Astyanax mexicanus: one gene and its partner. The protein of the gene in region 2 interacts with the protein of the main gene of each other region in a pairwise test. Links are inferred from orthologs where the notes say so. Each region holds a gene or a part of one and is shown on either strand. Other genes may lie near its edges. The genes, in order: batf3 and bach2b.

Region 1 (17,150 bases), about 9.6 Mb from region 2:
TTCCACTGGTCTAATGTCCATTCCTTGTGTTTTTCGGCTCAAACAAATCTCTTCTGCTTGTTGCCTCTCCTTAGCAGTGCTTTCCTAGCAGATATTTGATCATAAAGGCCTGATTTGTGCAGTCTCCTCCTAACAGTTGTTTTAGAGATGGGTCTGCTGCTAGAACTCTGCGTGGCATTCAACTGGTCTCTGATCTGAGCTGCTGTTAACTGCTGGTGACTCGGATAAACTTGTCCTGAGAAGCAGTGTTGACTCTTGGTCTTCCTTTCCTGGGTCAGTTCTCATGTGTGCCAGTTACGTTGTAGCGCTTGATTGTTTCTGCGACTCCACTTGGGGACACATTTAAAGTTTTTGCAATTTTTTGGACTGACTGACCTTCATTTCTTAAAGTAACGATGGCCACTCATTTTTCTTTAGTCAGCTGATTGGTTCTTGCCATAATATGAATTGTAACAGTTTAACAGCCAATAGGGCTTTGGGCTGTGTAGTAACCTGACTCCTCATAACACAACTGATAATCCCAACCCCACTGATAAAGCAAGAAATTCCACTAATTAACCCTGATAAGGCACATCTGAAAACAATTTCAAGTGACCACCTATTGAAGCTCATTGAGAGAATGCCAAGAGTGTACAAAGCAGTAATCAGAGCAGAGTGGCTATTTTGAAGAAACTAGAATTTAAAACATGTTTTCAGTTATTTCACCTTTTTTTTGTTAAGTACATAAAACTCCACATGTGTTCATTCATAGTTTTGATGCCTTCAGTGAGAATCTACAATGTAAATAGTCATGAAAATAAAGAAAACGCATTAAATGAGGAGGTGTGTCCAAACTTTTGACCTGTAGTGTACGTTTGGTGCTAATTCAATTACTGTGTACAGACTTACAGAGGTTTCCTCCTGATGAATAGTCAGATAATTCCTGACCCATGTCAGTGATTAGTTGTGTAGTATGCGAGCAACTAGTTGTTAAATCTGACAGGTAAATTGTTTGATAAAAGTCGTGTAGTGTGAACGTGGCATAAAATACCCAATAGCAGAGGATAAAAGAGAGTATGATACCCAGAATGTCTTTTAAAGATTTAGGAAGGATATTATGTATGTATGTTCAAAAAGTAAACATTATTTTCAAGCATGTAAGCAAACCCACAGCATTATAGTAAACAGCTCTATTAAACATAAATACAGCATATACAGTTAGGCCCAGAAATATTTGGACAGTGAAAAAATCTTTATAATTTGGTCTCTGCATGCCACAAAACTGGATTTGAAACACCTGTATTACAGTGTAGACGTTCAGGTTTAATTCAACAGGTTGAACAAATGTTATAGTATGTCATATAAGTGTTTAGGGGCTCAAAAGTGATTGGACTAATTATCTTTAAAGCTATTTTATGGGCTACAAGGGCTATTCCCTTAGTAATCTATCATCATTTAAGCAGGTAAAAGACCTGGAGCTGATTCCAGGTGTGGAATTTGCATTTGGATGCTGTTGCTCTGAACAACATGCGGTCAAAGGAGCTCTCAATGGAGGAGAACCTGCTCATTATTACCCTATAAAAAGAAGAAAATAGTGTAAAGAGTGGCCAAATCAGCTTAGGAAATCAAAAAGCCTGGGCGTCTACGGAAGATCACACATCCAGCATCACCACACTGAACACAGGGGCTCCCCAAGGATGTTTGCTGAGCCCCCTTCTGTTCACTCTGCTGACCCACGACTGCACACCAGCACACACCTCCAACCTCTTCGTCAAGTTTGCGGATGACACGACGGTGGTGGGTCTCATCAGCAACAACGATGAGTCACACTACAGGAGCGAGGTGAGCCGGCTGGCCTCCTGGTGCAAACACAACAATCTCTCTCTGAACACAGAGAAGACCAAGGAGATTGTTGTGGACTTCAGGAGATCTTTTCAAAACGGACCTGCATTATACATCCCATACTTGCGCTACTGCTAATACTCGTACTGCATTACTCACTTTAACTGCCCTTAAACTGTGAACTTTAAGAACTTTATGCACTCATTCACTTTACCAGCCTTAATCTATTATACCATATCTGCACTACTGTTATACACGTTCTGATTATACTTGCGCTGTCATTCCATCTTAATTACCCCACCATCACTATTGGACTATTGTCTTGTGTCACTTTTCCCACATATGTTTATCTGTGTCCTTGTTGTTTTGTAAATATAGTGTCTCCCATTTTTTTTTCTATACTTGCTTTGGGAAGTAGAGTAACATAATTTCAATTCTCTGTATGTCCTATACATATGCAGTATTGACTATAAAACTACTTGAATTGACTTGACTTTGGCAGGGGAAACTAAGATCCAACTGTACTGAAAGGATGGGAAGGAGAAAGTATGGTTTGGAACAGCTCAACGCAAAGCTCTCCACATCCTCTGTAAAACATGGTGGTGGCAGTGTGATGCTATGGGTGTGCATGGCTTCTAATGGCATTGGATCACTAGTGCTTATTGAAGATGTGACAGACAGAAAGAATTCTGAAGTTTACAGGGATTTACTCTCTGCTCAAATTCAGAAACGATAATTGAACGATGCTTAACAGTCTATGAAGACAATGATGCAAAACATACTGCAAAAGCAGCACACAATTTTTTCAGGCACAGAAGTGGAATATTCTGCAGTGACCAAGTCAATCACCAGATCTGAACCTAATTGAGCAGCATTTCACTCACTTAATACAAAACTAAAGGCAGAAAAATCCACAAACCAGAAACAACTGAAGACAGCCGCAGTAAAGCCTTGACAAGGTATTCATAAAGGAGGAAACCCTGTGTTTGAAGATGTCCATAGGTTTCAGACTTCAGGCAGTCATTGCCTGCAAAGGATTCTCAACAAATATTATAAACTAAAATATATATAAAAATAACGTTTTATTTATGACAAAGGTCATTAGTCCAATTACTTTTAATCCCCTAAAATGAGGAAGCGGTAGAAAAAATGGTTGTAATTCCTAAATGTTTCATAGAATATTTTTGTTCAACCCCTTGGACATCTGCACTTGGACACTTGGCCATCTGCACTTTAACTGATTCTCAGTTGTTTCATCGCAAATCAAATGTGGCATGCAGAGCCCAAATCATCATGATTGTGCCACTATCCAAATATTATCTTAACTGTACAACAAGTATAGTCAGATTAAACTGTTCACTGTATTTTGAAAATGAGCAAGTGTGTAAACATTCACAGTAAACATTCAGAGTGAGGGGAGTTCACACATAAAGTTGAAATACATGTCACTAAATCCATCTGTCCTTTAAAACACACCTGTTGTTTTTGAAATCTCATTAATAATTATATTTGATATTTCGTTTAATATGTACTAGTACGTGTCCGATGCAGCGGCACCATTAAATATGTAACAGAAAATCACAGAAAAAGCAAGCATCTGCAGCCTATGTATTCTCCAATATGTGCCGTGCTGCTCATCTCCAAACTCTTCTGCAGTCTGTGCAGACCATGCTGACCCCACCTTCCCACCAATACCCTTTGGGGAATGACTACTGACAAAAAAAACTGTATTAAACCTCCTTGTGTATGAACATGTGGGACTGTGTTTCCAAGATAAGATTAAAAACCGTTCAGATTCAGTTAACCTGCTCTCATAAAGGTTTTTCATTCTGCTTTTACTTTTCTACAAATCAGCACAGTGTGAACTCCCAAATTACTTCCTTTCCTCATCAGGGATGTCTCTAGTGTATTTAACATGATGATAAATCTGTTTCTATAGAAATTCTATAGAATTCAAGGGAATGGAACCACAGTGTTTACATTTTCTACAATCACTGGGTAAAGCAATTACCAAATGCCTGCCCTTTAGTGACAGATTGGGGAGAGAGAGGGACAATATGAAACAGTACAGCTTGTCAGAGTCTTCTCAGTGTTCTCAGATTGTAATATACTGTAGAAACATTTAAAAACACAGCAGTGTGGTCAAAGTACAGTGTTTAGCAAGAACCTGTGCTCAATTAAATGGCCATTTTCTGTTGTAGTTTAGGGCTTATTCTGTTAAAGAGAGTTTTGATACAATGAACCTTTCCACACTAAGCAACTCTGAATAACTTTATTTAGACCTCAATGACATAAAATTTGGGAATTCTTCTTGAAAAATACAACCACTTTAAAATTCAAGTATCTGTAAAAATAGATTCACATGAGGGCAAACACACTGCACATCACAAGCATGTGAAAAAAATAATTAATTAAAAAAATTCTGTACATTCTATTCACAAGTAACTGTCACATATATAATGAAGAACTAGTGAACATGGTTAATAGTAGAGCATGACATCCTGAAACAAAGAAAGGATATTTTGGTCAAGCACTTTCAGTAAAGCAGAAGTGTTCCTTCTTGTGGCACTTAAACTACAGCGGTGCACCAAATAGACTGGTTTGCGGTTACATAGTGAAATACAGTCCTGAAGTAATAATTTATTTCACGTGAGCTGGAATACTATCTGACACAATGATGTTCCCACAGCATAAAAATGAAACTGAAATCTTGTTATTGAACACGCTTTTCTAGAAACAAAAACTTCTAGAGAATATTTTGATACGTGTCAAACTGCAACACTCATTTTCAAGCAGCAACACATCAAAAAGGCACAACATTAACACATTTAATACAAACTTAAATTACAAAAAAACATTTTGAGAATGAATACAGTAAATACCATCAGTAATTTGTTTGTAAACTCAGGGAGGAATTGCATCATTGGTCCTAGCTGCTGGAAGAGCACTGCTGTTTAGAATAGGGCACAGGGGCTCATGGGACTGGAGGGCCTCTGACAGACATTTCTGTTCCTCAAGCAACAGCTGAACCTCCTTCTTAAGCAAGCTGTTCTGCTGCTCCAAGCACTCATACGCCTGTGTGGAAACATTTTTAATCAGAACCGTTAAAAGAACACGTCAGACAATACATTTAAGGAGGTTACATTCACCGATGTAAAGTTAAATGTGATGGACACATTTTCTCCACATATCTCAATCACACATGCCTAGTGACAAAATAGTTTACTTCTATGTTTTTTTCACAGGAAAAACTTAAATCATTTTGTATCTGTACTTCTGGTTTCATTAACTGACACATGTTAAACAATCTTTAGTATGTAAGTTGCATGAGAGTGTTACATATAAAAATGAACAAAAATACATCACATAACTAAAACATTTAGCAGCTTCTATTTAGAATGTGACATGTAATAATTCCCCCGTATTTTACATTGAAGCGTCAAACATCAAGTTTTTAAAAACTGTTTTTTTCAGGAATAATAGACAATATCAGCAAACTCAATCCATATCTAATTTGCCATTATTTGTCAACTCAATGTGGTTTACACATTTGATTTACTATTTTAGTTTATCATACACAATTCTCTGTTTCTGCACTAGCTTCATTTGCCTTGTAGTGCCAGTGCACATCTTTTCAGTTTTTTTTTTCAGGTGCTAACATCCTTTTGTCCAATCTTTATTCACATTTTCAAAACTCTACATACACCTGTCTGTTATGGACTATACTCTTGATACAATTCATGTTGGTATTACACAATATGTATTCAATTAGCGTATTTCAACATGCTTACATTTTATGAACAAACAAGATTACCCACTAAATACAATTCCTGATCGTTCTGATTTTATTTACAATTTCTTGCCTATAGCATGCCAAAAATAAATATCTCATGTTCCAAACTCTAAATGTAAGACAAAACAGTTACTTCTGCAACAATAGCAGGTGTATAGCTTTACAGAACATTACTAATAATTAAAAGACTATGATAAGACAACCACAGCTGGTTCTGGATCTTAGCATGAGACATATAGCCAGGTGCTGTCACTGACATGGACACATAAGAAACGTTCAGAAAACGTATCTAAAGTACTGGTAAATACTTATTAGCGTTTGTAAAAACAAACTGTAACTATCAGTCACAGTATAATTGCTGAAGAAAACATTTAAACCCATTATTTCTTAATATTGCTCCTGGTAAATCAGGTACATCATTTTAAGTACATCATTTTAACTCAAAACTCCTGGTCAAACTGTTGTGCTATTTATGAGCTGAATCATGTGTTTTGGGGCCAAGAATGAATCATCCTGTTTAGGGCAGTGGGTCACCGGCAATAGAAACACTGTTTAAAACATACACAGTTATGTCTGTTCTTATTATTATTAAGCAAGCAGAATGATCTGGCAATTAAACCCAGAGAGATACACAGTTTTAAACCACAAAGATTTTCCCTGCAAGAAATTTGCAGACAGTGGAGAGTAAAGAGCAAGTCCCACTATATGCAAGAGTAAAGTCTGTGTAAAACACTGCAATTGTGAAAGCAATATTATATCTTAAAGATGTTCTTTTGGATTCAGATTTAGTAACTGAAATGGACAATCAAGAATACTGAACTCATATTCATGAGTAAAACTGCAAAAGTGAATTTTACTGTTCTTTTTTATAGTAAACATATGATCAGATCACTCATGACAGATGTAAACAGCAGGTATGCACTGGCCTAAGAGATTTTAAAAACAAACTTCTATGTAGTGTTTGTTCTTTTTTAATGAAATGCATAATCATTAAAACATCATAAAGTGCACGGTCTGTGAAGTTTCTTTAAACTTACAAAACAGCGGTGGGGAATGGCAGGACTGCAGATAAAAACATATGTTAAGCCTGGCAGGCAGTGGGTGAGCTGCAATAGGCCCTCCAGAACCAGACTTCCTCACCCTGAGTTAATCACACATTCTTTATTAAACATGGTTGTTTAGGTGGTTCTAATATTACAACACTTAACAACTCACGTGGCACATTTTTTTTAAAGCATAGCTTACTTGCAATCTCAAAGTTATTTCTTTAACTATCAGCCTTACTGTCCATCTTTGTCCACCCCTACTCGTCCAGTCCAGTCTACTGATCAATCCACTTCTTCTCCCCACTTCCAGTTGCTGATCATTAGACCTTTTTTCTAGTCTCTGTCTGCTATACCTTCCTGCAAAATTCTGAGCCTGACTTAGCTGTAAGAACTTTGTGTCTTTTTGCTTTGGCAACTTTCAGTGTGTTAATTAATTTATTAATTGTGTGTAGACCAGTAATACATTTAACACAGCCTGTGCTTGTCCTTCTTAAAAGTGAAGTACAAAATGCTTCCTCGGTCCGAATCCTGGTTTAGTCATCATGAGACCTGTAAGATGACTGTTCTCAGGGTAAGGTCTCAGTGTTTACACTTTAGAAACCAGGCTGCGTCAAAAATGTGATTAGTATATGCGTGCTGTGTGAACGCACCTCGTGCAGCTCATCAGCTCTCTGGGTCTGTCTTTTACGACTCCTCTGCGCCGCCACTCGGTTCTTCTCTCTTCTCTTCAGCCTCCTCTCATCATCATCAGAGCTCTAATTCATCATTCATTAAGACACCACATAAGCCCACGCACAATACAAGAGGAGTGTGTAGAAATTGTACATCTTCCCTGTGCAATGAAATACATGTATCTCCAAAAACAGCAACTTTAGGAGAGAAAAATTAAACCTTCTTAACTTTTAATAAAAGTCAATGTAAAAAGAGTTTATTTCATGCCATTTTGTAAAACTACGTAAAAAGTGTAAGGGTGAGTTTGTGTGTTCTAATTCGGTAAAAAAATAATCAAAAATGGAGTTTCTTGTTTTTCATTGGACAGCAACGACATGCAATTTATTTATAAGTTGCAGTTAGTGTAAACTCTGTCCAAAAGTAGCTCTGCATAAAAATACCTAGGTGGCACACACTGACCTTTAATGTTTGAAATTTGAATATGGTTGAAGTAATGTCTTGTTATTTCAATGTCGAAACAACATTGAAATTTTAACATTGAATCAAAATGTCCTCACCTTCAACCTTTTGAATTTGTTTGGAGTTGTAAAGTTCCTACTTCTTAAAAATGCATATTCAGAGAGAGAAAGAATAAAAATAAAATTGTTAATTTTTTAGCATGGCATCAATTTTTTCCCCTCTTCCATACAATTTTCAGCATCCTGAATGTGATCTAGGGTTTATTAAAGGTTGAACATATGATGCTGCATTAACGTTGATCCACTTTTCAAAATCAGCACCAACATTAACGTTGATTCAAAGTTAAAATAGAAAGGTAATGCCAACTGCATTTGATGCCAGGCATCTGTTGAAGGTTTATAAAAACTGGACTACACGTTTTGGTACATTTCTCTCTCCAGTGATTGAGCTTTATCCAGTACCTCTGCTTGGGGTGATAAGTAGCCACCAGTAGGTTACCTGACGTCAGAAATGCTTCAAATGCAATCAATCCCTGACAGCAGTTTTAGAATATTTAGAATATACAATTGAAAGCTGCAGCAAAGACTACAGAATCTGCCCCATTAACATCCTGACTTTGCCTGTCTGCTCACTTTTGGACATACAGAGCAGAGCTGATATGAAAAAGAACTGAATCGGCTACACTCTGTAGGGAGTGGCTTTTATAAGGTGAAATTAAAAGGTAACTTTAGAAACACTTCAGGAGAGTGCTCACACACACACACACACACACACACACACACACACACACACACACACACACAACAGTGAGTTACAGCTGGACTGAGTGAAGTGTTCCTACCTCGCTCCGGAGGCACGAGCGCGCGGATGGTGCATGGCTGGGGGGGCAGTAGTCTGGAGCAGAGGACATGGCAGTAACACTTCTCACACAGAAAACAGCAGCTGCTCCTCAACTCAGCGCATCTCTCCTCCCGGAGCTCATCCGGAGCAGTGGACCAGCGGCCTGCCGCTCACAGCTCTTACCGGTACTCTACCCATCACTCACTTTCTTCTAAGTCACGTGGTGCACTTGTTCAGGGCTGCAGTACCCGCAGCGGCCGGGCGAGGGCGCCTCTAACACAGTAACCCAGAGACCTCCAGTAACCTCACAGCGCAGCTCATTCACAGAACCAGCTACAGCTTCAGAGAACTCACCAAGCGAGGAGGACTGAGGAGGATTAGCGACATTACATCAAATAAAATACCATCAGAACTGTAAACTTCCATAATCTACTCGCAAAATATTTTATTCACAACCAAAAATGTTCAGACCAAAAGAGCTTTTCTATGTATTTCAGTTTAATCCATACCTGTCAAGTTTTAGATTTAAAAATAAGGGATATTTTCCTCTGTACGCTTAAAGTTGTCCCACCAGCCCAACGAAGGTTCAGTATCTCTTACATTTTAAGACATGTTTACAAAAAATCTAAAATAACCACATGTAAACCGCTTACACACTACAATTAGATTATCAGAATCTGAAATGTTGTGGACATTCCTACATATGTCATTCTTTTAATACAGCCAAATTAAAAACCCTTTTCTAGATATTTAAAAAAAAGTTAAGATTTCATCTCTTTTTGGCATAAATGCACTCTTTTATATAATATATTTTTTATTTATGTAATAGATTTAAAATTGAACAAAGGGTGCACAAATTCTGCAAAATGACTGTAGGTGACCTAAAAATAGTATCATGAGCTTTTACTAAAAGGACATAGACCAGATATATTCCATCAGTAAAAAATAGTCCTAAGGGGCCTACACAATTAATAATTTTTAATTAATACTTCTTTCTTTTGATCACTCCACCCCTGATCAGTTCAGATCATTTCGGTCCTCTCCACATTTCTAGTTAAGCTGAGTCACAAGCTGTAATTTTTTTATTTTAAAAGGTTTAATCTGTGTGTTTTATTTCGGAGACGAGTATTTTTAAGCAGCCATCAGAAAAATCTCATCACAGTTTACATGATTAGCCTACCGTTACCTTTCTTTTAGAAAAATCGCTGAATATCCAGATATGTTTTAACATCAGCAGCTCCGACTAGCTGCCTGAACTCACAGCGACGGGGGGGGGCTTCCCCACGCTGACCCTCCTTTGCAAGCTGATTGGCTGTTTCTCCTAAAAGGCGGGACTTTCTCCTTGAACCGGCTCCACGATTGGTTAAGAGACACAGAGCGGTAAGTGCCCTGTCTCCTCAATAATATATATTTTTTAATTTAATATAATACGGGAAATTTACGGGAAAATACTAATACGGGAGGACGGCGGGAAAGAGGAGTAAAATACGGTAGTTTCCCGGCCAAAACGGGAGACTTGACAGGTATGGTTTAATCCACTTCTCCGATCTTTAAGCATAATCAATAAAAAAAGAAGAAAGTTGTTCTGTTATTATGATTTGTTTAATAATGATGATTCAATGTATATCGATTAGCCTTCCTCAATTAATGTCTTATTATACCACAGTTAGTTCTGACCCTGCAATGTGATTGGCTGAGAGGCGTTCTATGAGTGTCGTTATTAGCCGGTAATGCACTGTAACAGAAGCTCTCCATGTATTACTCCACCACATACAGGTAACCTGTCAATGATGCAGCGCTTACAAACCAAACAGCACAGCAATGGTACTATTTTAACTTACAGAGTTAAATAATTGCAATATGCACTTGAGGCTCATGCTATAACATTTATATAGTATGGTAATATTGTCACTGCTGTGCTGTTCTATGTTACTCGGTCACTATAACATGGTAGAGCACTCGCTCTCGTGTATTGTTGCTTGTTTTTATTTATAATTTTGTTATCTCTCATATTGTTATGTGTTCTCTAATTCTGTGAGTTTTCCTGTTCCATGAGCATGTTGTATCCATCAATAATTAAGTCCTACCAATAACATTTTTTATCTGTCTGATGTTTGTATACTTGTTTGGTTGAATAAAAAAAAAAGATTTGCAACATTTCAGATCTACCAAGAACCACAATCTAGATCAGGTCAGCTGTGTTTAAAATCTACTGCTCTAATAATGGCCTTAGTAAAGTTGTGATGCTGAATAAAAAGACTTTCAGAGACACATTTCCCGCCATCTTTCCCTATCCTGTCAGCTCTCCATCATCTAATCCAACAGGATACCTTTAAAAAACTCAGCATTCGCCCTTCTCTGTTTAAGCTGAATTCAAGAATTTTAAAACATGCTGAATTACCTTTTTCAGAACAGGTGCAGATCCTGTAAAGTACATTTTAATGTCCGTGCAATTTGTATAAAAAGAAAACAAATATTTAAATAATTAAGTGTAACTCATTAATAGAAGCCAGAAATATTATAGAATATTTAATCTCGGTGGAGGAACTATGGCACGCTGATACCACTGACAATGTTAAACAGATATACTCTTACAACATAGGCTATTATATGTATTATATTTTTCTTCAAAAGCATTGGAACAGTGAGGTCAATTATTTCTGCTGTAGACTAAACAAACATTTGGGTTTGACATTAAAATATGAATCTGATAAACATTTCAGCTTTTATTTATTTTATTTATATCTGTATCTAATACACAGTTTAGAAGATAGCTGTTTAGATAACAGTTTAGAAGATGTCTGAACCCACCCATTTTCTTGTGAGCAAAGGTATTGGAACATGTGACTGTCAAGTGGGTTTTGTTGCCCAGGTGTGTGATTATTCAAACAATTAACAGTACTGAATATCTACACTCAGTTTCAGATTTGGGGTTTTCCTGTGCAGATTGTGCATTTATAGTTACAAGCAACTGTGAAGCCGAGAAAAGATGGAAAATCAATCAGAGCCATTGCACAAATATTGGCAAAAGGCAGTACAACCGTTTGGTCGTCACTGGTGTACTAAGCAAAAGATGTCGAACAGGTAGACAGAGGTAAACTACAGCAGTTGATGACAGAAACATTGTGAGTGCTGTAAAATAATCCTAAAACTGTTAGTAACATCAACAACCTCCTCCAGAGGGAGTGAAGATCTCACAATCTACTGTTGACAGAATAGTTCATTACAAAAGTACAGAGGCTTCACCAGAAGATCAAAGCACTATTAGAAGGATTAGCCTCACTGTTCCAATTTTGGAACAGGCACTGTATGTATTGTGTAGTACAGACATGTATAATATGTAACTGATGGGGGGTTTTGGGATGAAGACATTGCTTTGTGTTAATGTGTTTAGCTATACTTTGAAACTCTAAGGTCTTATATATTCATTAAAATATAGGGGATCAAATTCCTAATAATAATTATGTAATAATTAGATATATATTAGTAGAAAAAAACATGTTTAATCTACACAAATTCTAAACAATAAAAAAAAATTAATTTGTTTAGTTATTTCAGGCCACTGTAAACAGATCATAATAAGAGCACTACTTAGCCTTAGCTTTTAGAAGATGTTAGCAGTGTGGCATAAAATGTATTAATATTTGTCAATTAGTGAATTGTACTCTTTAAAACATCTTACACAGATTAGCAACAGGGTTACAGTTTCATAAATGAAGATCAACAACACTTTACTAACATTGATAGATGACTAATGGTTCCCTATGTTTCTTTCAATATTTATGCAACAATGGACAAAGATTTCAGATGTCACAGATGACTATTCACAAAACTAAAATATTTGACTTCACACAGTATGCATTCTATGTATTTAATTAATTAACAAACATTGATATCTGCATTATGCCTGCAACACTTTTCAAAACACTTAAAAATACTTTTAGGCACAGAGGGTACCAAGTGATTTAGTGTCTTAGGTGTTATGTTTTCCATTCTTCTGCAAACACCTCTTAAAGTGTTTAAAGGCAGTAAGTTGTCATCATCCATCTCTTTTGTTTAAAAGCCCACGAGCAGTGGAACTGTGTTCTCTAAAATGATGGTGTTACATTCAATAATTTGGGGAGGAGCTTAGGAAATGGGGGTAAGGTGAGGTGTTGATCATGCAACATCCTGACCTCACTACCACTCCTGTCCCTAAATGCTATCAAATACTCACAGCAATGCTTTTAAGTCTAGGAAAGCTCTGGATACTTTGCATGGACAGTAGAGACAGGTATTCCAACAAAAGCACTGCAAAGTCTTAAATTAATTCCAAAAGAAACAGTGAATGCACAAATAAACTTTTATCCATATAATGTCAATTATGAATTGTAAGCCATGTCAGCTATTTTTAATAGTATTAGGTACTTTAATGCTTAAAAAATAGCCAAATAGCCAACCTATAGCCTATATAGCCAATCACTGTCACATACTGATGATATATTATTACACTGTGTACAATCTTTATACAGTATTATCTTGGGAAATTAAATCAACACTGATTCTCTTATAACAACTGGTTGCAGTTCTTCCATGCAGAATTATCCAAAAAAAAAAAAAAAAGGTTGACTCAGTCTTTTTTAGCCAGTGTTGGAGTCTTCATCATAGGGACATAGTCCAGGCTGTATACTGTCTCAGATACAGCTCTTTTGATGGCCTGTTTACTAGCAGGTCCCCTGTTGCACAGGACTGGGCAGGCTTCACCATTAGAGCTGCCAAATATCTCCCTGTAGACATCCAATGTCTCATCTGAGGGTTGCATGTTCATCACCTGGTATAGACCCTCCGCTGTCTGCTTCAAGGCTTTCAATGACTGCAAATAAAAGATCAAGTAACATTGTTTATAAAAAAAAAAACATTCTGTTTTTTAGTCTATTAAACCAAACATGCTGTTATTAATGTAGCCTGTAAATACACTAAGGATAAATTATGATATTAGAGCAAGACTTAAGATTCGTCTGTCCAAAAAATATCTGGCAAACTAGCCCAACTAGTCTTGACGGACTTGATTTTACGATTCCATAATCTTCCAATTTCACACAGGGCTAATAAAAACTATTTTTTAAAAATATCTTACAAATGACAAGGCAACTTATTGCCCCTTTATTCATACTGAACATTTAAATTTAATTACTATTTTATTAATTATATTAATTAAATGCAAGTCTACAAAATTAACAAAATAATCAGTTTTCTGGATAAAATCAGTGAGCAGCACTGACTCCTACCTTTATTACTGTAGATGCTTGGCCGAACATCCCGGGAGCAGCAGCTGACACGTTATTCATGATGGCATCTTAAATAAAAACAAAACAAAATAAAAACAGAGGGACTGTTAAATTCTATAGCAATCAAACTACACAAAATGTGATAGATAAGTATATGAAGGCTAACCTTGAGCAGGGTCTCGTTTTATTTCTTGTGGCACAATGGTGTTTTCCAACAAACCCTAAACCAAATTCAAATCGTTTTAAACACAACTTAAACTTAGAGTTAAATTTAAATCTTTCTGACGACATCTTGTGGCTGGGTTCAGCTGGTACACATCACTGCAAACACAACACTTTTTTTCATGCAGTTTTATTAAAGGAAAACAACTAACCATGAGTTTTCGCTCAGCTTTTAAAGACCGCACAACGTATGGGAGAATTTTCTTTGGGTAAATGCTTCGCTTCCTGGTAGCCTCTACAATCTTTTCATCCAACATGTCATCCAATGTACTGACCTCACAATCTAGAGGAGCACAAAATAACATGTTATTTGTTAAATTCAATACATGAACATTATTATGCTTATACAACTGTTTAACCAGTAAAGGTAACAACTAGGTTACTATCATCGGCCAACCAGCCATTGGAGGAGAGAAAAGTTTCTGTGCACCGAGAAAAAAACGGGGGGTGGAAGAAAAAAAAAACCTGAGAGTGCTAGAAAGAGTCCCCACTCTCTAATTAAAAACCTAACTATAAATCACATATAATTATTAAACTCCTTCAGAGATGTATTGTATTGCATTGTTGTGGGACTTCAAATCCCATCTATGCTTTAAAAATATTTCCATAATAAAATCCATAATATTTAAGTTAAAATATACATTTTGGTTGTGTCCCTGGGTTTCACTCATTCCTGTTACTGTAACACATTCCTACCGTCTAAATCAACTGGAACATTCTACAAGTCACAACATCTACAACAGGAAGTGACTAAAATCACTAGAAAGTGATCAGTGTCCTCATGCTATTAGCATGTGCCAAAAACAGGAGTGAGTACTGTCCCCTGGTTTATTGATTTATTAATGTGAATTTTAGTAAATGTAATCCAGTTTTTGCATGGATATATAGTATTTTTTTGTCATAACAAACATACAGCCAAACATTTCGGTGGAAGGGCCCGCGTATATTTGGTGAAGTTTCGTCAGCAAACAGTGTTGTCTGGCTGTGAGGGGCGAGGGCTTCATATATAGCATTCAGTGTGAAAACAGCTTATTAACTTCTGAAGTAATACCGTTTCTCCGAAACACAGTACTTTGTTAGTACCACAGTTGTCTGAACCACTGACTTGAACCACCAGAGACTGAACTGAGGTGTTTCCAGGCATGTTCGGTCAGACTTTCCCATCAGAAAAAATAAAAAAAACTCACAAACTTTACAACATTATACTTGAATATACAAGTTGTGACCAAAATCATGTGTATATATCCCAGTGCACGTATAACAGCTATCTATAAAACATCATTAAAAAACAATTATTAAATTATTCCCAATACAGGTGATTAGTTCAAAGGGTTCAAAGCTCTCTTCTCATTGTTGAAATTATGCTCTCTTTTAATAAGAGCAATAAAAGTTCCCAGTGATGACGAATTGATTTCTGTGAAACCTAAAGAAAAAAGCACATGTTGTACCAGTGCAACCAGTACAAAAAGTAATGCAGCATCAATCATTTGGTTTACATACCTGCCCCATCTTCTTCTGCTGCCTCCTCCCATGGTAAACCATCAACAACGATGTTTTCTTGCACCACAAGTTCAAAATTCTAAAGAGCAACAAGTGACACTTTATTGGCATTGACTATTCACACTCGTTTTAACCAATCATTTATGTTTCATGCTTAACAATCTGAGATTTACTTATGAATTCCTGTATAAATTTAGATTCAGGCTAATCCTAAATAACTGCTGCTACTTCTGGAATTACTTATTACATTACTGTTACATCACTGTGCATCTGCCTCACTGTGCTCAGTCCTCAGAATCTCCTTTACTACCTGCTGTCTTTTAGCTACACCCAATAGGGAATTTCAGTCTGAAAATAAAACATCTTTACATTTTAAATTTAGCCACAAATGGTCAACAAAGTCAAACTGATAAGCGTTACACTGACCCTCGTCTGTTGAAGTGGCTAGAAAAATGCTTTTTTCTTTAGTTATTCTGTTACTAGCCGTGTGTAGGTGTGCTTGGCCTTGCTGTTACAAAACGAAGGTAAACGTTTGAGCAATGGATAATGTCTGTATACACGTACGGATGAGAGTAAGACAATAAAATTGGTACAGTGTTATTGTGTTGCTGTAAACAATCAAACAAACAGTCAAAAATTAATAAAACATGCGGGCTGGTTAAATGTCCTAATTTTACACTAGTTTAAATATTGAGCTGGTTTTCGGGTCGGTTCTGGTGTTACTGGTTAATTAAACGCTGTCGCTGTGCGTGTGTGAGGGAGCCGCGGGCGGGCGGGTGATGGTGCCCCGCAGTAAAGAGCGGCGCTGCGGCGGACTGTCCGCGCTGGGCGGAGGGGGAACAGGGGGGGTCTCGGGAGTCTCACCCTCAGCGCCTCCTGACTCAGCTTGTCCCGGTTCTGCTCGCTAAGCTCAGGCTGCTTCTCCAGCAGCGTCTTCAGCAGCTCCTGGTACCGCGCTATCTGCTCTGTAACGCGTCTCCTCGAGCTGACGGACACTCTGGGGTCCGGCTCTTTCTCCGGGTCTGAAACAGAAACCCTGCCCTCCATTTCTACCGCCAACTCTTCAAAACCACGCGTCCCACCAACATATAGCCGGGCGGAACAACAGAATACCGTGTACGTCGTTCCGCCCGGGCTCCATTCACTGAGACCCCACCAGCCGTCGCAGAGACGCTATACCGTCAGATTACTGCTCTAACCACGGCGTGACAGACACGAAGATCACTGAATAACAGTGGTCTTATGTGTAGCTCTGCTCTGAGTTTATTACGCTGTGAGTAGTGAGATGGATGAACCTCTGGTAGACTGCCACTGCCACCTGTCAGCTAACGAGTTCCTCCAGGTAAACAGGAGACTCACACTGCGCTCAGTGTGGAGTTAACTCAGACTGTCAGCTGTTTATTCAGGCTCGGTGTGAACCCGGTTTATAGTGAAACGGTGTAGAAAAAAAACAGCATTGATAATAACTAGAGGTCTGCTAAACTCTCTCTGTTCACCATGTGTTATACAGATTAATATATAAATCTGTGT
Region 2 (16,917 bases):
TACTGTGGAGAAGGACTACACACACTCGCTGGATATCACACACTGATTGCGATGTGTATTTTCTGTGCTGCACAAGTAAGGACCTGGATATGTCTGAGGCCGAAGACAAACAGCAGCACCAACACACTCCAAAAATAACCCTGTGACTAAACCCGCCCACACACACTCACACATACATATACACAGAATATCTCCCAAAATAGTGCCCAGACTAACTGTGCTTCTGCCTTATCTGATCAAAATTACACTGAACTGCATCTTAATTCAACCTAATGGCATGCTTACAAGTTAGCGTTTTTACTGTAAATTAAATTATATTTGTATTTATCCATTTCCAAATAAAACAACACTTCTGAGTGTTTAAGATCAGGGATGCACTGATCTAATACTATTCATAAAATACTGGTAGTGACGAGAAAATATGATCTGTTTGATTATAAACACTCCGCGAGTTAAAATAGTTCCATTGTTGCTCTGTTTGTAGCTGCGCTGTTTGGCTTGTAAGCGCTGCATTGTTGCTAGGTTACCTGTATGTGGCGGAGTAATACATGGAAAGCTTCAGTTACAGTGCATTACTGGCTGATAATGGCACTCATAGAATGCCTCTCAGCCAATCACATTGCAGGGTTGGAACTGTGGTATAATATAGCTTAAACCAACATATGAGTTTTGTAAAGAAGAAATCGGGGACATGCACAGGCACAACACAAGTCCACCATTAGGACAAAAATTTTGGGACACACACATAATAGAGCCCTATGTTAGAGATCTATAGATGAGCCGGCAACCTTGCAGCGTGCCCCTTGATTTAGGGCGTGTCAGTGTGTTTTTCGTATTTGAGTTTTGCATGGCTCAAAGGCATGTACTAATTCTCTTAATTAATGAAGGAGAGTGAGCAGCTCATTTACGAGAACAGCAATGTTACTTTATTTTGTATTCTTATTATCATGTCCTCATGTTTGTGTAATGAGCAGGGATATACCCACACTGAGCGCGCTGAGTGCACTGCGAACCTGCGTTACCTAGATAGCAATGAACATCTGATGGGTGACTGCAAAACGCCAGAAATTTACTTGAACTCACCTCATTTCCAGACCACCACACCCATCAGTGTAGATATACTTATATACTTCAAAAACCTTTATTGACATTGCTTTTTAAACCCATATACATTAACACTGCTCCTAGCATCTGCACTGTAAACTTAAGAAGCAAACTACAGATAATAAACTTGTCGTAGCTGTCTTAGGTTGTGATAAAACATGTTCAATATTCCTTTAAACTTCTATAAAAACTGACTCCTGCTTTTAGTATTCTTAGCAAATATCTATATATTAAAGTACAGTTTTAAGTTACTGTACAAAACTGTAGAAAATTGGTTTTGATCCCACCTGCTTAAACGTGATAATAAACACAGCTCTAGTGATCACTACTAGGCGTCTCTCTTCCTCATATACACAGACACACACACAGGCTTGCTCTGATTCCGGGGAGCTGTGTTTAACTGCGACTTGTGTGTAAGTAAGTCGGTCTGACTGATCCTTTCACACAATTAGACGCTAATGAGTGGGGGATGAGCCTCTGATAGGCATTAGGGGAGAGTGAGGGAGGGCACACTCAGCGGCGCTGATGATCTGATCTGAAAGGCTTTTTTTTTTGTCGTTTTTTTTATAGATTTATTTTGAGCCCTATCATATTCTGATACTTTGTTATATGCTTCTTTATTTCCCTGCTGTCAGCAGTGAATTCAGCTGATTTATTTACCGGTCACCTTGTGTTTCCCACTGTCACTTTAACAAACGAGGGGAGAGAGATAATAATTCATATAGTAAATGCTTTCAATTTAGTCGTCAGCACTGAAACTAATAGCTTGTAATATCTGCATAATTGTGACTGCAGTTAAGTTAGCCTGTGATTCCTGACAACAAGGCTAAACTAGTTAGTATGTTCACACACAAACTGGCTTAACTAACTGTAATTGTGTGTGTAGTGTGAACTGTGTGGCAAAATATTGATTTTATATCAGATGCTTATCCAACATAACTGTTCATAACTTCATTGAGCAGGGATCAAACAGTCATGAAAAACCTGGAAAAGTCATGGATAAGTTTTGGAAAAATAAAAATACCCAGAGAGTTTTGGAAAAGTCATTGAAATTAGGTTCAACAAATCTTTGTGTTTCCATTCAATAATTTTAAGCTTACACAATGGAGCTCTCAGGATCTGCCACACATTTTTTTTATTAAATATTGTTTGTCAACATTCTTATCAGAGTCATTTTGGACCTACTATATTATTCATTTTAATTATAGTTTTAGTTGATTTTTAGTTTTATTGTTCATGTCTGCACTGATGCTTTAAAAATCGTATGGTCAAAGAAAATTTGCCTTGAACACATGGAAAATTCATGACAAAATAATGGAAATTTTTTGGTTAAAATGTGTATGAACCCTGAGTGAGTGTATAAACTCATCACCCACAAGGAATTAAGCATCAAAAGTGAAATGTGGTGGGTAGTTGTGCTAGACAATCATGTAGAGTGACTCAGAATCATCTGTAGTGACAAGTGTTGCTTCTTTCTTTGAGGAAACATCCAACAAGTTTATGCGTGGAGGAACTGTGGTCTGTGCTATAATGCGCCAACACAACAATGCTCATCCACATGCTGAAGATTCAACATCTAAGCCTAAAGACATAGACACTTTGCCACAAACTCTGCTGGAACTGTATGAATATTAAAGTTGCACAGGATGTACTATCGAAGCACACCATTAAGAACCTCTACTACGACTACAAACCACAATGTCTGTCATAATATGTATAGAATTTATTATTTGTACAGTCATACACATACAGTATGAATGATATGGGATACATTTTTACTATCATTGTATATAAATAAACACTAAATGTGTGCAAGTGTGTGCGGCGCAGGGCACTGCACACACAGCTGGTCCTGGCAGTGATAATAGCGTCTGGTTCCGAGTGGTGACTGATGATGCCAATGGGCATGAGTGTCATCCTAACACAACGTAAGAGAGGAACAACAAAAGCCCTGTCTGAACTTCAGGAGCTTCGCACACACAGCGCACACACAGCACACACACTCTCGCTCCCTCTCTCTCTGTCAAAATCTGGAGCTCAGTCAAACATGCCATTGTGCTGACGTGGGATGGCTATGGGAACATGTTTTCATACCCTAGGCTTGTGTTCTGAAAGAGCGCTGGTGGGCTTATTCAAACAAGCAGGACAGGACAAAAACCATGCCTTTAGCTAGCATTTACAGCTGCACCACACTCCTCTGAACTTTACCACCGCACTGTCCGGTGCAAAAACAAGCTTCATTAAAATATGCATTATTTTTTGTGTGAATCTAACATGCAACGTGGAGATGGAACTAAAGATAAGACACAAGCACTGAGCACTGTCGACGTGGAACTCACACCACTGCTCTCCTACATGCAGTCATTCACTGTACGGAAATTCAAACATCAGCTGTCAGACGGAGGCAAACAGTACAGTGTGTTCTAAATCTAAACAATGTCCACTTTCCTTGCAATACCTTAATATATATATTTTTATATATTTTTATAGATGTTTGCATTTATAACATGAATATCAATTATCAGTTGTTGAGCGCTGGTTACAGATTGCACAAAGAATAGCACAAAAGCAAACACACTCTTAGCTCCTTTACACAGATGGACAGTGGAAAGGCAAAAAAATAAATAAATGCTCTGTGTAATGACAGTAAGCTCTCCCTAGGTAGGCACCTGCCAGTCTGTGATGAAACATAATGTAGGATATAGGACATATGGGACATACAGGCACTTACAATAAAGAAATAAAGGAGGTAAAAAACAGGTTATGTGCAGTTTTATTACATGTGAATGAAATAAATGAGGTAAAACACTGTTGTGGAAAAACTCAGTTTTTGCTGTATTTTACTTTTTTACTTTTTTTTCTTTTTTACAGTCGGACAGCTGTTCTCATCAATGTATATTTCATGAAGAATGGACCAATATGATGAAATGCTCCAAAATGATTTGTAATAAAATCTTTTTTTTTTACACTTCCACAGATACACGTGTATCTAAAGGTTCATCGGTTCATGAACAATAAACCTGACGCCAAAGTATGAACATAAGACTCACCCACAAAACGTTTACATTAAAACGTTCATAAAACCTCTTTATAGAACAAATTAAGCAGTTTTATTGTATAATTCTAAGATACTCCTCCTATTATAGGATATATAACTGTGTGTTGGTGAATTTATGAAAAATAAAACATAACGGGGATTGAGTTCCGTCTCTCTGCGCTGAGCAGACAAAGGAATGCAGGCTGGAACGCGCTGTATCTTTTTTCTCCACCTGTTTTCAGACAAATCCCGCCACCTGGGCTTCGATTGGAGGGATGGCAGTGATTTCGGCCAATCACAGCGCTGTATGCAAATACGAGCGCTCGAAAGTACCAAGAGTACCGGACATTAGCCAATTGGGGCACGTAGTGGGCGGGGCCTCTGCGGAAAACAGGTGGTGGCGGGGTGGAAACAACAAGGCAGCGTAAAATGCTGCATCACCGCATTGGTGAGGGAGGAGAAGGAGGAGGGGGAGGGGGAGGGGGGTGCACAGTTTTGGATGGGAGCAGAATTTCTTACAGCACCAAACAGCTCTCGTAGAAACGTGTTTCCCCCAGACTGTTCAAACACGGGCTCGCGCTTAATCGGATCAAATCGCGACAAGAAGATCGCTAGCGAGCATTGTATTAGCATAGCAGATGCTCCTGAAGCTTACGGGAGCGCGCGCGCGTGTGTGTGTGATAACTAAAGGCTAACGCGGGCTAATGTTACATTCATACATCCTCCCAGCTGAAGACAAAGCCAAGTCATTCATAACCAGCGAGCTCACGGCTCTCACAGCCAGCAGCCAAAAACACAACGGGGGGTGTTCTGTCGATTTGTGCTACCCATCGATTTGTGTTACTTAGCAGCTCGGCGCATGCGCTAATTCTCATTTTTATTACTATTTTCACGTGTTTTGGGTGCATTATACAATCTGAGATCACTGCCTTTTTTTGCTTGAGTGAGATATTTTTTACAACCGTGTAAAGTAATAATTATGCTAATATAAACATAACAAAAATAACTATAGAATGGCTTCCAATTACATGTATTGCCTTAATTCTACTCTGATACAACGATTTAGGCTATTCCAATATCAAATCGACACTTTTACAGCGAGACTATTCGAAAATATTATTAGGATATAGTATTTCTTTTTACCTTTAAATACACTAGGGTAGCACGGTTTGACAAGGTAGCACAACTCGACAACACACCGGCGCTGTATTTACAGAGAGACGAAGCGCTTTCATCAATGAAACCGAATTAAAACGACACGTCATCTGAAAGTCGAAGGTTTAATTTGACCACTATGATAATAAGATGACTTGTTTGTTTACAACCAAGTCCACGCTCCAGTCCACGCTGACTCCCACAACTCCAGCGCAACCTATTCCTAAACTGATCTCCAGTCAGTGATCATTCAGCTCAGATTCCACGCCTCAGTTATCAGGAAACATGCGATACTGATTTCGGTGTTTTCAATGTTTGTTTGGTGTGAGTAACATTTCTATAGAGAGACCGAGAGTGTGGAAAAGCGGACTCTGCTGCTTTAAATGGCACCCTCGGGCAGCAGGGCTGCTGCTGCAGCCCCCCTTACACAGCAGATATTTCTGCTGATATTTGTGTGGATTAATGGAGGGGGGGGGGAGGGGGCGGGGGGGGGGGGGGGTGTTGTAATGCGGTGGCTCCGGGTTGGAGAGCGTGTGTGTGTGTGTGGATGGCAGAACAAAGCCAGCCGGCGGAGAGCTGCTTTTCTGCAGCAGCAGGATAAGCACATTCCCACAGCACAGGACTGCTGCTGCTGCTTTTCACTGGGATACTCTTGCGAAAACAAAAGTGACACGACGGGCTGATCCCTCCATGTGCACAGAATACAGCAGCCCTCATTATCATTAATGATGATGATAATAAAACAGTTAAACAGCAGCGCTACAATAACAGCAGCAGTAGTAACTGACTTAACTGACTGAGTTACTGACTGTAACAATACTAGTGGCAATAATAATAGTAATAACAATAATAATAATAAAAAATATATATATATATATTAAGTTTCGTGAAAATAAGATGAATAGTAGCAGGCTATTACTAATAAGAATAGTAATAGTAATGCACGTGGCAGTAGTAACAATAATAAGAAAAAGAAGATCCAAAATATTACCACTACTAATACTACTACTAATAATAGTAACACTAGTAGTAATAGCAGCTTCAGAGAAAATAACAGTAGCAGTAGTGGTTATAATAGCAGGTTATCAATAGAATCATCAATAATGGTAATGGTAATAATAAAAATAATAATAATGATATAATACAGTAGGTTTCGTGACAATATCAATACAATAGTAGCAGTATTGGCTATAGTAGCAGGCTATTAATGATAACAATAGTAACAGTAATGCACGTGGTAGTAATAATAATAATAATAAAAAGAAGATGATGAAGAAGAGTACTACTATTACTATTACTAATAGCAGTACTAGTAGTAGGAGAAGGTTCAGACAAAAAATAACTGTAGAAGTAGTGGTTATAATAATAGCAAGTTATCAATAGTAACACCAGTAAGGGTTGTGGTTATAATAACAATAATAATAATAATAATAATAATAATAATAATAATAATAATAATAATAATAATAATACAATTAATAATAATAATAATAATAATAATACATGATATTACTTTTCTTTAAAATACTTATTATTAAAAAAACATTTTAAAAATAATAAATAAATGATGATGATAATAATAAGCCGGAAAAGGGTGAACTAGACCCCCGAAGAAAGGGAGTGGGGGGGTTGGTCCGTCTCTGTGTGTGTGCCACTTGGTCGGTCAAGGCTTCCGCGAGTGACAGCTTCTGTTCCCTTCACGAAAACAAGGGCCATGCCTGACACCCCCACCACCCCCACCCCTCCTCCTAAAGCCCCTCAAACCCCTCCACCCTTCCTCCTCCTCCTCCTCCGGGATGGCAACGCATCCAACTCCTGCTCAAAAACAGGCAGCCGGCCGCTCGAGCTCAGCACAACAGGATGCGGCCACGTCCCACGGCGCGCGCTCCTCGTTCACGTGCACCGTGCTTGGTCAGGGTGGTCAGTGCAATGCATGAAGACACGGTTCCCTTCGCTCTACTCCGAAACTCGACCACCCCCTCCTCTCTTTCTCTCACTTACTCTCTATCCTACTCTCTCTCTCTCCTGCAAAAAGCACGAGTTTCTAACTGCATTTCTGCACGAGGCGATATAAGCAGCGACTAGAGCTCGAGCTGAGTGAAGTGCAGAACCACAAACAAAAAAGACAGAGACAGAACACGCCAGTCGAGTCCACTTACCTTCAACTTCCCTCTGTTTTTCTCTCGTAATCCAGCCCGTTCGTGCGCGTGCTTCAAAAAAAATCAATGTCTTTCACATGATGACTTCCTTGCAGACTCCTCTAAAGCCTCCTCGTGCAGGAAGATCAAAGCCTGCACTCTTTCTCTCTCTATCTCTCTCTTCGCAGAGTCAAGTTTGGGAACAGAAGACCCCTCAGCGTGCACGCGCGCGCGTTTTTGTGAATCTCTCTGTTGATGTGCAAGAGTGTGTGTATGTGAGTGTGCATACGAGTGCGCGCGCGTGTGTGCGTGTGTGTGTGCGCGCGCGCGGTGATTCCGTTCAGCGTGCAGCTCCTCGTCTCCTGTGTTTGGTACTGAAGCTCTACGCCTCCCCTGCTCTCTCTCTCTCTCTCTCTCTCTCTCTCACTCCGCTACCGTTGTTGACATTCGCCAAATGACGTCACCTCCCCCTGCCCTCATTCACACACATACACACAATAAAGCAGCGCGCGCGCGCCTGCGCCAGCCCCCCCCCCCCCCCCCCAATATAAACAAACAATTCACCGAATAAATAAATAAATAAACACATAAACATGTGGCCGGTGGGCCGGTGCGCGCGCACAGCGGAGTGAGGAGGACGCGGCGTGTTTTTCTGAATCGACAGTTCAGTTCACTACAGCGACACGACCCGGGGGGCGCGCCAAAACCAGCGAGACAACACGCGCGCGCAAACCCGCTTAGAGAATCAGCGTTACGGAGCAGCGCTGACGTTAACTTACTACCCCTGTCAGACTCACAGATTACCCTAGTAATAATAATAATAATAATAATAATAATAATAATAATAATAACAATTTGCATTTTAAAAAATAAGCATAAAATCCATACAAACATTGTTTGTATAATATTACCATATTATACGAAAATAACTATATCATACAGTAACACAACATTTACTATTCGTATAGTACAATGAAAAAGTAAAAATAATAATACAAAATAATAATTGATATTTGAAATAAACAAATAATTCATACATAAGCATACTTATTTTATCATAATTGTTATTATTTAAATGCTAGGAATAGTATACGGTACTGTACTATATAACAGGACACCACCATAATTATTTGTAATTATTTTTAATAAAAACAATATCAAAGTATTATTATTATTATTATTATTATTATTATTATTATTATTATTATTTTATCTATTATCAATTACAGTTATATTGACTGTGATTATTGTTATAAAGAATAAATTTAATATTTTTTATTTGAACATTATGGCTGTCCTTATTTAATTTCTAAATTGTTAGCTGTTTTTGACTGTAAATAACAACAATAAATGATGGGTTGTTACAACAGTGGATAAAAACAATATTAATCAATTAAAATGTTTATTTTAGTTCTGATTACTAGTTATACTGACTATAATTGTTACTGTGATTTATATGGAAATTACAGCTGTTTTTATTATTATATTTAAAATTGACCTGCTGCAGAATCTAGCCCCAGACCAACTTTCGTTGGTAGCTGGTTTCAGATAGTCTATGCTGGTCACCTAGGTGAAAACATATTATATGCTAGAACGCTAGACCACTTAGGAGTATATAGAGTATATATTGCATTTGATTTTGGTCATGCTTGGCCATGGAGGTCAAGCTGGTTAAAAAGCTTGGTCATGTTGGTCATACTGGTCAACCAGTTTGATTTTGTTGGTCAACCAGCTTGGTGATGCAGGCCAGGCTGTTTAACTAGTATTGTTAAGCTTGATCATACTAGTTGTCTAGTGTGGTCAGATTGATCAGACTTACAAATATACAGTACTACGCATTTAAAACCATAATGTTTACTAATGTTCATCTGTTCTTTTTACAACAATGAAGAAAAACAATGTGATAGAGGAGGTACATATGTGTGGGTCTGTGTGTCTGAGTACAGTCTTCTCAACACAGCCTGGCTTTGTTCTGAAGCAGCCCACACAGCACAGCCGCTCTGGGTGGGAAGAGTTTCATTTAGAGGGGAGAGCTCTTCCCCTGGGGAGTCTGCACAGAGTCTGCACTTGGAGCATTCATACAGGAGTGTATGTGTGTGTGAGAGAGTGTGCTTTTCTGAGCTAAAGTGTCCTCTTACTGTTAAGAGGTATGACTTATTCTGCTATTCTGAAAAGTGTGATATTGAGTGGAAAGTTATTTTCTATTTATGGTTAACTGTTTAAATCTAAATTCTACTAATTAATACCCAAAGGATCCAGACACCCCTTCTAATGAGTTCAGATATTGTTCAAATGCAAAATTTAACATCTTATTTAATCTTCATAGGGTGCTGTCAATAGAATGGGGCACTCTGGAGGAGCCCAACCACACAATGACCAATGCTGTGCAAGGGCTAGAGGGTTAAATGCCTCCAGCCTTGTTCTGTGGAACAGTGAAACTGTATTATCTGAAGCGACAGAGCTCCATTGAGTTCCCTTAGCAGGAGTTGGAGTGGCATCTGTGATCAAGAACTAATGTAAAATCAATACTTGACTTCACTTAAGATCTATTGGCTCAATGCAATCAAATGCTTTAAAGCAGTGTTCAAAAATCTAGTGCAAAGCCTTCTTGGAACAGTGTAGAACACTTATTGACAAAACAATTGATAGTTGAATGTAATAATGATATTTACAAACACAAGCACAAGGATACGGGGAAAAGTATGGAAAATGTACAATTTTAAAAGCTATTAGTACACGTTTTGGTGCCTCTAAGCTGGAAACAAGATAAGCAATTTTCCACCAACGTAGAACCGTTTTGGCTACAAACCTAATTTTTAACTGTTTTGCTGCATTTTCACCAACAAAAGTAGATTCCAGAACCAGGAACATTAATTTTTAGCAGGAATCAGTAATACTAGGTTCTTCAGTGCGAATCGTGACTGCTTCTGTTCACCGCCGCTGTGCAACACCCTCTGTTGTGAACGTATGTTGTGACGTTTTGATGGTTCCACTAAAACTGGTGGAGCACTAAGGCTGGTTCGCTGAAAAGCACCACGGTTCTTTTGGTGGAAAAGCACTAGATAAGATATAATTGGGCATAGAGACATACAGATTATATATGGCATTGTGCAGCACTCTTGCCCGCAGATGTTGCAGCTGGCCCTGTAGACCCTGCTCTACACTTGCTAGTTGCCAATGCTGGTGTTCCAGCTGGTCACATAAAGGCTAAAATGGTAATAAATCTGACGACTGAACAGAACCTGGAGTTCAGGTTTCTTGTTCCTGCCATCACTGAACATAAAGTTGATAGTGGCTGGCTAAATTATGGCCTAGATTTCATTTAATTTGATCGCAATGTTCGAGTCATGGTGCTCTGGGAGCTCTCTCCCCTCATTACTTCCAGTGTGATGCTGGCTGGCACAGGCATCTGATGGCTAGTGTATTAAAGCTGGGGATCTGGTGCTTTCTACTGAAGGTTCTGACTACCTAGTGATATTTCAAAAAGAGACGGTTGCTGACTTTGCATGTACTGGAGGTGGAATGTATTAGTCTTTCTAAAAAGGGACATTTTTAATGTTTTAATTTTTAATCTTAATGGAGGTCATTTTATTATTACCTTTTTGTGATTTAGAAGAAAAACACTGTGTGCATAAGCAGCAACCACTTACACACTTTTACCGCACTGCACACACCCCATATTCCAAACCCAACACACATACACATAGATGGACAGTTGAAGTGGCATTCCTGCACTCTCTGACCTTTCCTTCAGGGAATTCTGTCAGGGGCCCGGAGAGACTGGAGGGCCGGAGGACAAAAACAGATCCATACATGTGTGTGTGAGAAAGAGAGAGAGAGAGAAAGAAAGAGAGAGAGACAGTGGGAAAAAAACATAAGGAGAGTACTGTGCTATACATATTCATTTCTAGTTCCCAGAGGAGCCACATTTTAACCCTTGATCTCAACCATACTTAATAACTGTCCATTAAAGTGAACCAAACTTGCAGTAAAATAAAAGACAGTTTCGGCACCTTTATTTATTTATTTATTTATTTATTTATTTTATTTTTTTTACAAAATACACTGTTAAGGTTTTAATTTTTTTAAATATATACAAAAGAGAGCAACTATAGTTATGAGACAAAGAACCATAGCAATTGCTCTAGACTATACAGAACACTTGGAACATCGTAGTGCATCCATCCAACGCATTATGGGGCTATAACTCCGCCCACAGCTGTATGCATTTTAATAAACTTGTATATATGGATTAAATATGTATGTCTAACATATAATTGTAACATATAATACCATATAAACATAAATCCAATAGATATTTATAATATATGTACATATACACATTTTTATGGATAGAACATGGGCCAGATAAAAAATGTAATATTTCTATGTTTGAAACTAGTTTATCTACTTACTGTAGAAAGCTAAAATGTATCTTTTTTATTAATTTGGTTCTTCCGATCCTAAATGGCTGTCAGGGTGCGGGCAGGAAGGACGAGGAGAGCGGATGCAAATGCGAGTGAATTTATTACACAAATAACAAAAGACAAAAATAAACAAATAAACTGAAACTAAACTGAAAACAAGAAATATGGGAAACAGAGACGCAACCATAACAGGCTAACAAAGCACAAGAACCGACACGAGGGAAAGGGAGCACGGACTATAAATAGTGTAACACACACGGGAAACAGAAAACACCTGGGGCTAAGGGGCGGAGTTACAAATGAACACAGGTGAGGGCAAGAAACACTGAGGAACACGGATCACGTGGGAGACACACTCACAGTCACAAGCAGAGACAGGCACAGAAAAGGTAAATAAACACAGAAACACGAGAACAGACAGGGACCACGTGACAATGGCAAGAATAATTTTTAAATGTTAAAATAAACTGCTGTCCCCATATGAGGACATTGTTTTTTTTGTTTTTGTTTTTTTTCGGCAAAATACAAAGTTTAGTTTTTATACTTTTTAGGTCCTACTAATCCTAAATAACTATGAGAAATGAAAATGCACACCAAACAAAAATCAAATGCTAACACTAATGTTTAGGGTAGTAACAAACATAATATATTATATTTTAGTGTGTAAACATTTTCTATATAAAATTTCCCCCCACATAAATTTAATCCCATAGAAAATCTTTACAAACTAAAATGTTTCATGTCCACTTTAATGCTCTTTTCTGCATTAATGTTGCATAGATAGATAAATATATATATATATATATATATATATATATATATATATATATATATATATATATATATATATATATATAGATAGATAGATAGATAGATAGATAGATAGAATTAGGCAGACAGATAGATAACTTATTAATCCCTAAGAAGAATTTTAGAAAAAAAATATATCATATATAAAAAAAAATATCATATTGTAACATCTGCACTGTTACACTAATAGCATGGGTGTGTTAAGGCAGGTCATCGTGTGCATGTGCTGTTGTTTCCCGCCCACCATGGTGGACAAACACTTGCATTTTTATGTGAAGAAGTGTAATTAAGGGTAATGCAAACAGCATTCACTGTGTCTGAGGTTTAGAGAGAGAGAGAGAGAGAGAGAGAGAGAGAGAAAGAAAGAGAGAGGTCAGACAGACAGAGACAGATGCACTTCCACACACAAGGAACATCACTGGCCAACTGACCTCTTGCTTAAAAGACTTGTGCAACACACCCTCAAATACTAGATGTGTAACACAGTGCCAATGCCTGGATCTGAATCAGTGCTCACACAACATGTCCAATTCTGTGTTGTTGGAGTTAAACTGGAAGTTGGTGTAGCTTAAACCTGAGATTTGTAATATTTTAGTTACTTAAACTTCACAAATACTGTAAAATCTTCAGGAACTGTGTGAGAATATTTAAGCTGCTTGATATTGATTATCACAGGGCGCCATTAGGAACCTCTACAACTCCATGCACAGATATCTGACATTTTTCATTGGATTTTTGCTTGGTGTGCATTTTAATTTATCCTAGCTGTTTAGGATTAGTAAGACCTAAAAAGTATAGAAAATTAAATTTTGTCTTTGTACACAAAGTAGTTTTGCCCCCCCCCCCCCCACCCCCCCCAAAAAAAAACAATGTCCTTATATGGGCAGTTTATTTTAACATTTAAAAATTATTTTTGCCATTTAGGATCAGAAAAAAAACAATATTTAAGATTTCTACAGTAATTAAATTAACTAGTTTTAAACTTAAAAATATTTGTTTTTATCTGGCCCAAGTTTCTGTTCATAAAAAGTGTATATATAGATATATTATAAATACCTATTGGATTTATGTTCATATGGTATTATATACTGATTATGCATTGCAGTCTAAATTAATTAATTCTGGGCTAAATTCACATTACAAACCTCATTAAACAAATTGAGATTTTTGCTCAGATCAGACTATATCATTCATAAATATATGTGATTTGTATCTGCGATATGTGAAATAATCTGGTAATTTTAATGTACCCAGAAGAAAAAAAAAAACTTTTAAATGTGTCCCTCTGACTGGATGTCCCAGAGTGAGAGGACATGTAGAAACTTGTGCACTTGTGAATGTGAAACATCACCCAGTCATCACTTTTCTATTTTTTTTATCTCACAACATCAAGGTAACCTAAGTTCAATGCTGAGGAATCGAGGAATCATCACTGTGCTAAAATAAGGGACTGCTGTGTCATTCATTCAAATACAAATTCATATTCATTCACATAAAAGTATGAAAAAAGTAACTTTAAAGTTTATCAAGCTGTCTGTTAGGAATCATGAGTTACACACTATTTTCTTATGAAGTAGTTACATGTGAACTGTAAACTTTGAGGAAACTGTATTTCTCACTCTGTAAATTATACAAAACATTATTTTGAAAGGTTTTAAAGTTGTGAAAGTATTAAAATGGCAAAACACTACAAAATGCAATGTTTCCTACATTGACATTGACTTTTATTTTACTACAGACAGTACAAATCCAAATAATTATGTTTTGCCTGCTCAAATGTCATCTATAAATACAGTTTACATTAATTCCTGCTTTTCAGCCCTGCAACACATTCCTGAAAAAGTTGTGACGGTAAAGCATTTACCAATTTTAAATGTTGCAATTCCCTAACTTTTAGAAAAAAAAATTTGGTTCTAAGAATGATAACCAATTAAGGTGTTAACGATTACCATTGTTCCTGTAAACTAGTGATGTCAACTGAGTAAAAAAATGAATACGTTTAATCCCGACAATATTCTGTGATTAACTGCGATTATTAACACTTGTTTTTCTTCAAATGCAAGTTTTTATAGTGGATATTTAAATGTAAATAAAAGAACGAATGTAAGAAATGTAAAATGCAATTATATTTATATTAGTTGTGTCAATTAAAATATTAGTATATACTTGTATGTTTGAGCAGAGATAAAGCCAACGTGGGGCACTGGATTAAAGAATACATGATACATTGGACAGAGAAAACTTTTTATTTTACTTTATTTTGAACATCTCAGCTTGGTTCTAAGGATTTCTGTATTAGAACTTAATTTGCTGAGTATAAAAGAGCGTTTTCACACCTGTAGTTGGTTTCTATGGTCCGGATCAGCACAACAATAAACCATGTGAGAACATTGTCTCCTCTGATTGGCCAGAGCTGTCTGGCGTGGGAGCAAGAAAGTAAATATAGCGAGAAGATTCTGTGTTCCAGCGCGTTGATCTGTGCTGCTTTATCACAGAACACTGAAAATTTGCCCCTGCGCTTTCAATCAGGGTTTTTAATGGGATGAGCAGCAGCAGAGCCAATGTTTGTCCATATCAGTATATTATCTGGATAATAAAGCAGATTAAACTGCGCCTTATTAGCAGTTTAGCTTAATTAAAAAGAAGTATATTTGATAGCTGCATCAGATCTAGACCAGATCACATTCTCACCACAAGCGAACAGCTCCAGAGTTCATTTTGGAATGGACCATGAAATCTGTGCATTGGATGGGGCGGGGCAGATTACGGTGAAAGTTTGGGTCAAACTTAAAAAAAAATGCTGATTTCAAATTAATCAAATGCATTGGCAACCCTACTGTACTTTTTAGCACTTTCTAAGGGTTCAGGACTGCAGAAAGCCAGTCAAGTACAGTATGTGCCCTGTTTTTCTTCAACCATGTCTTTGTAATGTGTTTTTGCATGTGGTTTTGCATAGTTTTTTTTTAATGCATGGAAATCCCTAGAAATTATGTTTTTATGAGGACGGCACATGTTGTTCTAAGATTTAAATCACAGAAATGTATTGACACAAACTCATATCATGACAGATCCTGGCATATCCTGGCATTTAGACTGGCTGCTGATAGCAATCTAGTTGGTCGTATATTTCTTCGGCCTCGAGCACATTGCATTTTATTTTTTCCCAAAAAAAAAAAAGATCTTGAGAACTGATTTATTTGTATGGTTCCACTGTATGATGGTCTGTCCCAGCTGAATCTAAGCCCAAATATTAAAATATAAGTTGTGTATGTTTCTCTATATGGTTAACCTTAAGCATTTGTGAATGTATCTTTCGTATGATGATTTTCGGAAGAGTATTGCACAGACATCACAAAAAAATGGACAAGAGTATGGACAAACCTCAGGTTGTGAGATACTACTACTGCTACTACTCTCTTGGAAACCACAGAACTCAGTGCGGTTGAAGGTCTGTGTGATGACTCAGGCATGATGCTAATAGGTGGGGCATACTTGTCTATCACGTTAGCATTTTGTAGCTTTAGCGCATAACTGCACAAGAATATACTATAAAAATATCAGACTATATAAACTGTATCAGTGGATCTTTATACAAATTGAAGACTCCGTATTGCAGTTTGCTGCACTTCTTTGCGCGACGGTGTTTCGACAACTCATCCAGCACATGTCAAATCCTGTAGCCGCTGAAAGATTTGACTCATAACACTCGAACTCGGCGTCAAATCAAAACAGTCAACCCCCCTGCCACCCTCCACCTGAAACAAGATGAACGCATCCCCGTCGGTCACGGAGTCATGCTTCAGTCAGCGATGACTCATTTCGTGGGGAGATTAATTGCCGTTGCGGTCGCATTGAGACAACAGCGTGCCAAGAAAAAGGGAAGGCAGGCCTCGGCAAAGGCCCGAAGACGCAAAAGGCAGCCGCAGAGGCCGGGGTATGCCAGCATGGGTTCGGGAGCCAGAGACCATGATTACGTCAATGAGCGCTATAGAACGCTAACCGCCATTCACAACACAGGCAACTTGCTTCAACTCATCCAGCTCAGGTTACCTGTAGTGCAAGCAGCTCCCTTGGAGTCAGACAGGTGTGTTTGTGTGTCTGTGTTTGTGTGTGTGTGTGTGTGTGTGTGTGTCCCACACCTACACACAAACACTCACTTGCGTGGGCACAGAAGGGTTTTTCACAAATGCTTAGCCTTAGAATAACTCTAGTTTTTTTCAGTCTGCAGTCAGTAGATATTCCCAGC

The links.
Region 1: the proteins of bach2b (region 2) and batf3 interact in binary tests that used the Homo sapiens proteins (3 or more experiments, as listed by UniProt). The link is inferred for Astyanax mexicanus from reciprocal best matches to the Homo sapiens genes BACH2 and BATF3.

The regions. Positions count from the first base shown.
Region 1 is NC_064408.1:57,263,751-57,280,900, reverse strand, and holds batf3 (basic leucine zipper transcriptional factor ATF-like 3), read right to left. Parts: upstream 8,918-17,150; 5' UTR 8,702-8,917; coding exon 8,633-8,701; intron 7,416-8,632; coding exon 7,311-7,415; intron 4,897-7,310; coding exon 4,726-4,896; 3' UTR 4,079-4,725; downstream 1-4,078. Other genes in the region: putative deoxyribonuclease tatdn3, read left to right, coding at 16,906-16,962. UniProt on the Homo sapiens protein: AP-1 family transcription factor that controls the differentiation of CD8(+) thymic conventional dendritic cells in the immune system.
Region 2 is NC_064408.1:47,684,749-47,701,665, forward strand, and holds the start of bach2b (transcription regulator protein BACH2), read right to left. Parts: upstream 7,820-16,917; 5' UTR 7,456-7,819; intron 1-7,455. UniProt on the Homo sapiens protein: Transcriptional regulator that acts as a repressor or activator. Binds to Maf recognition elements (MARE). Plays an important role in coordinating transcription activation and repression by MAFK.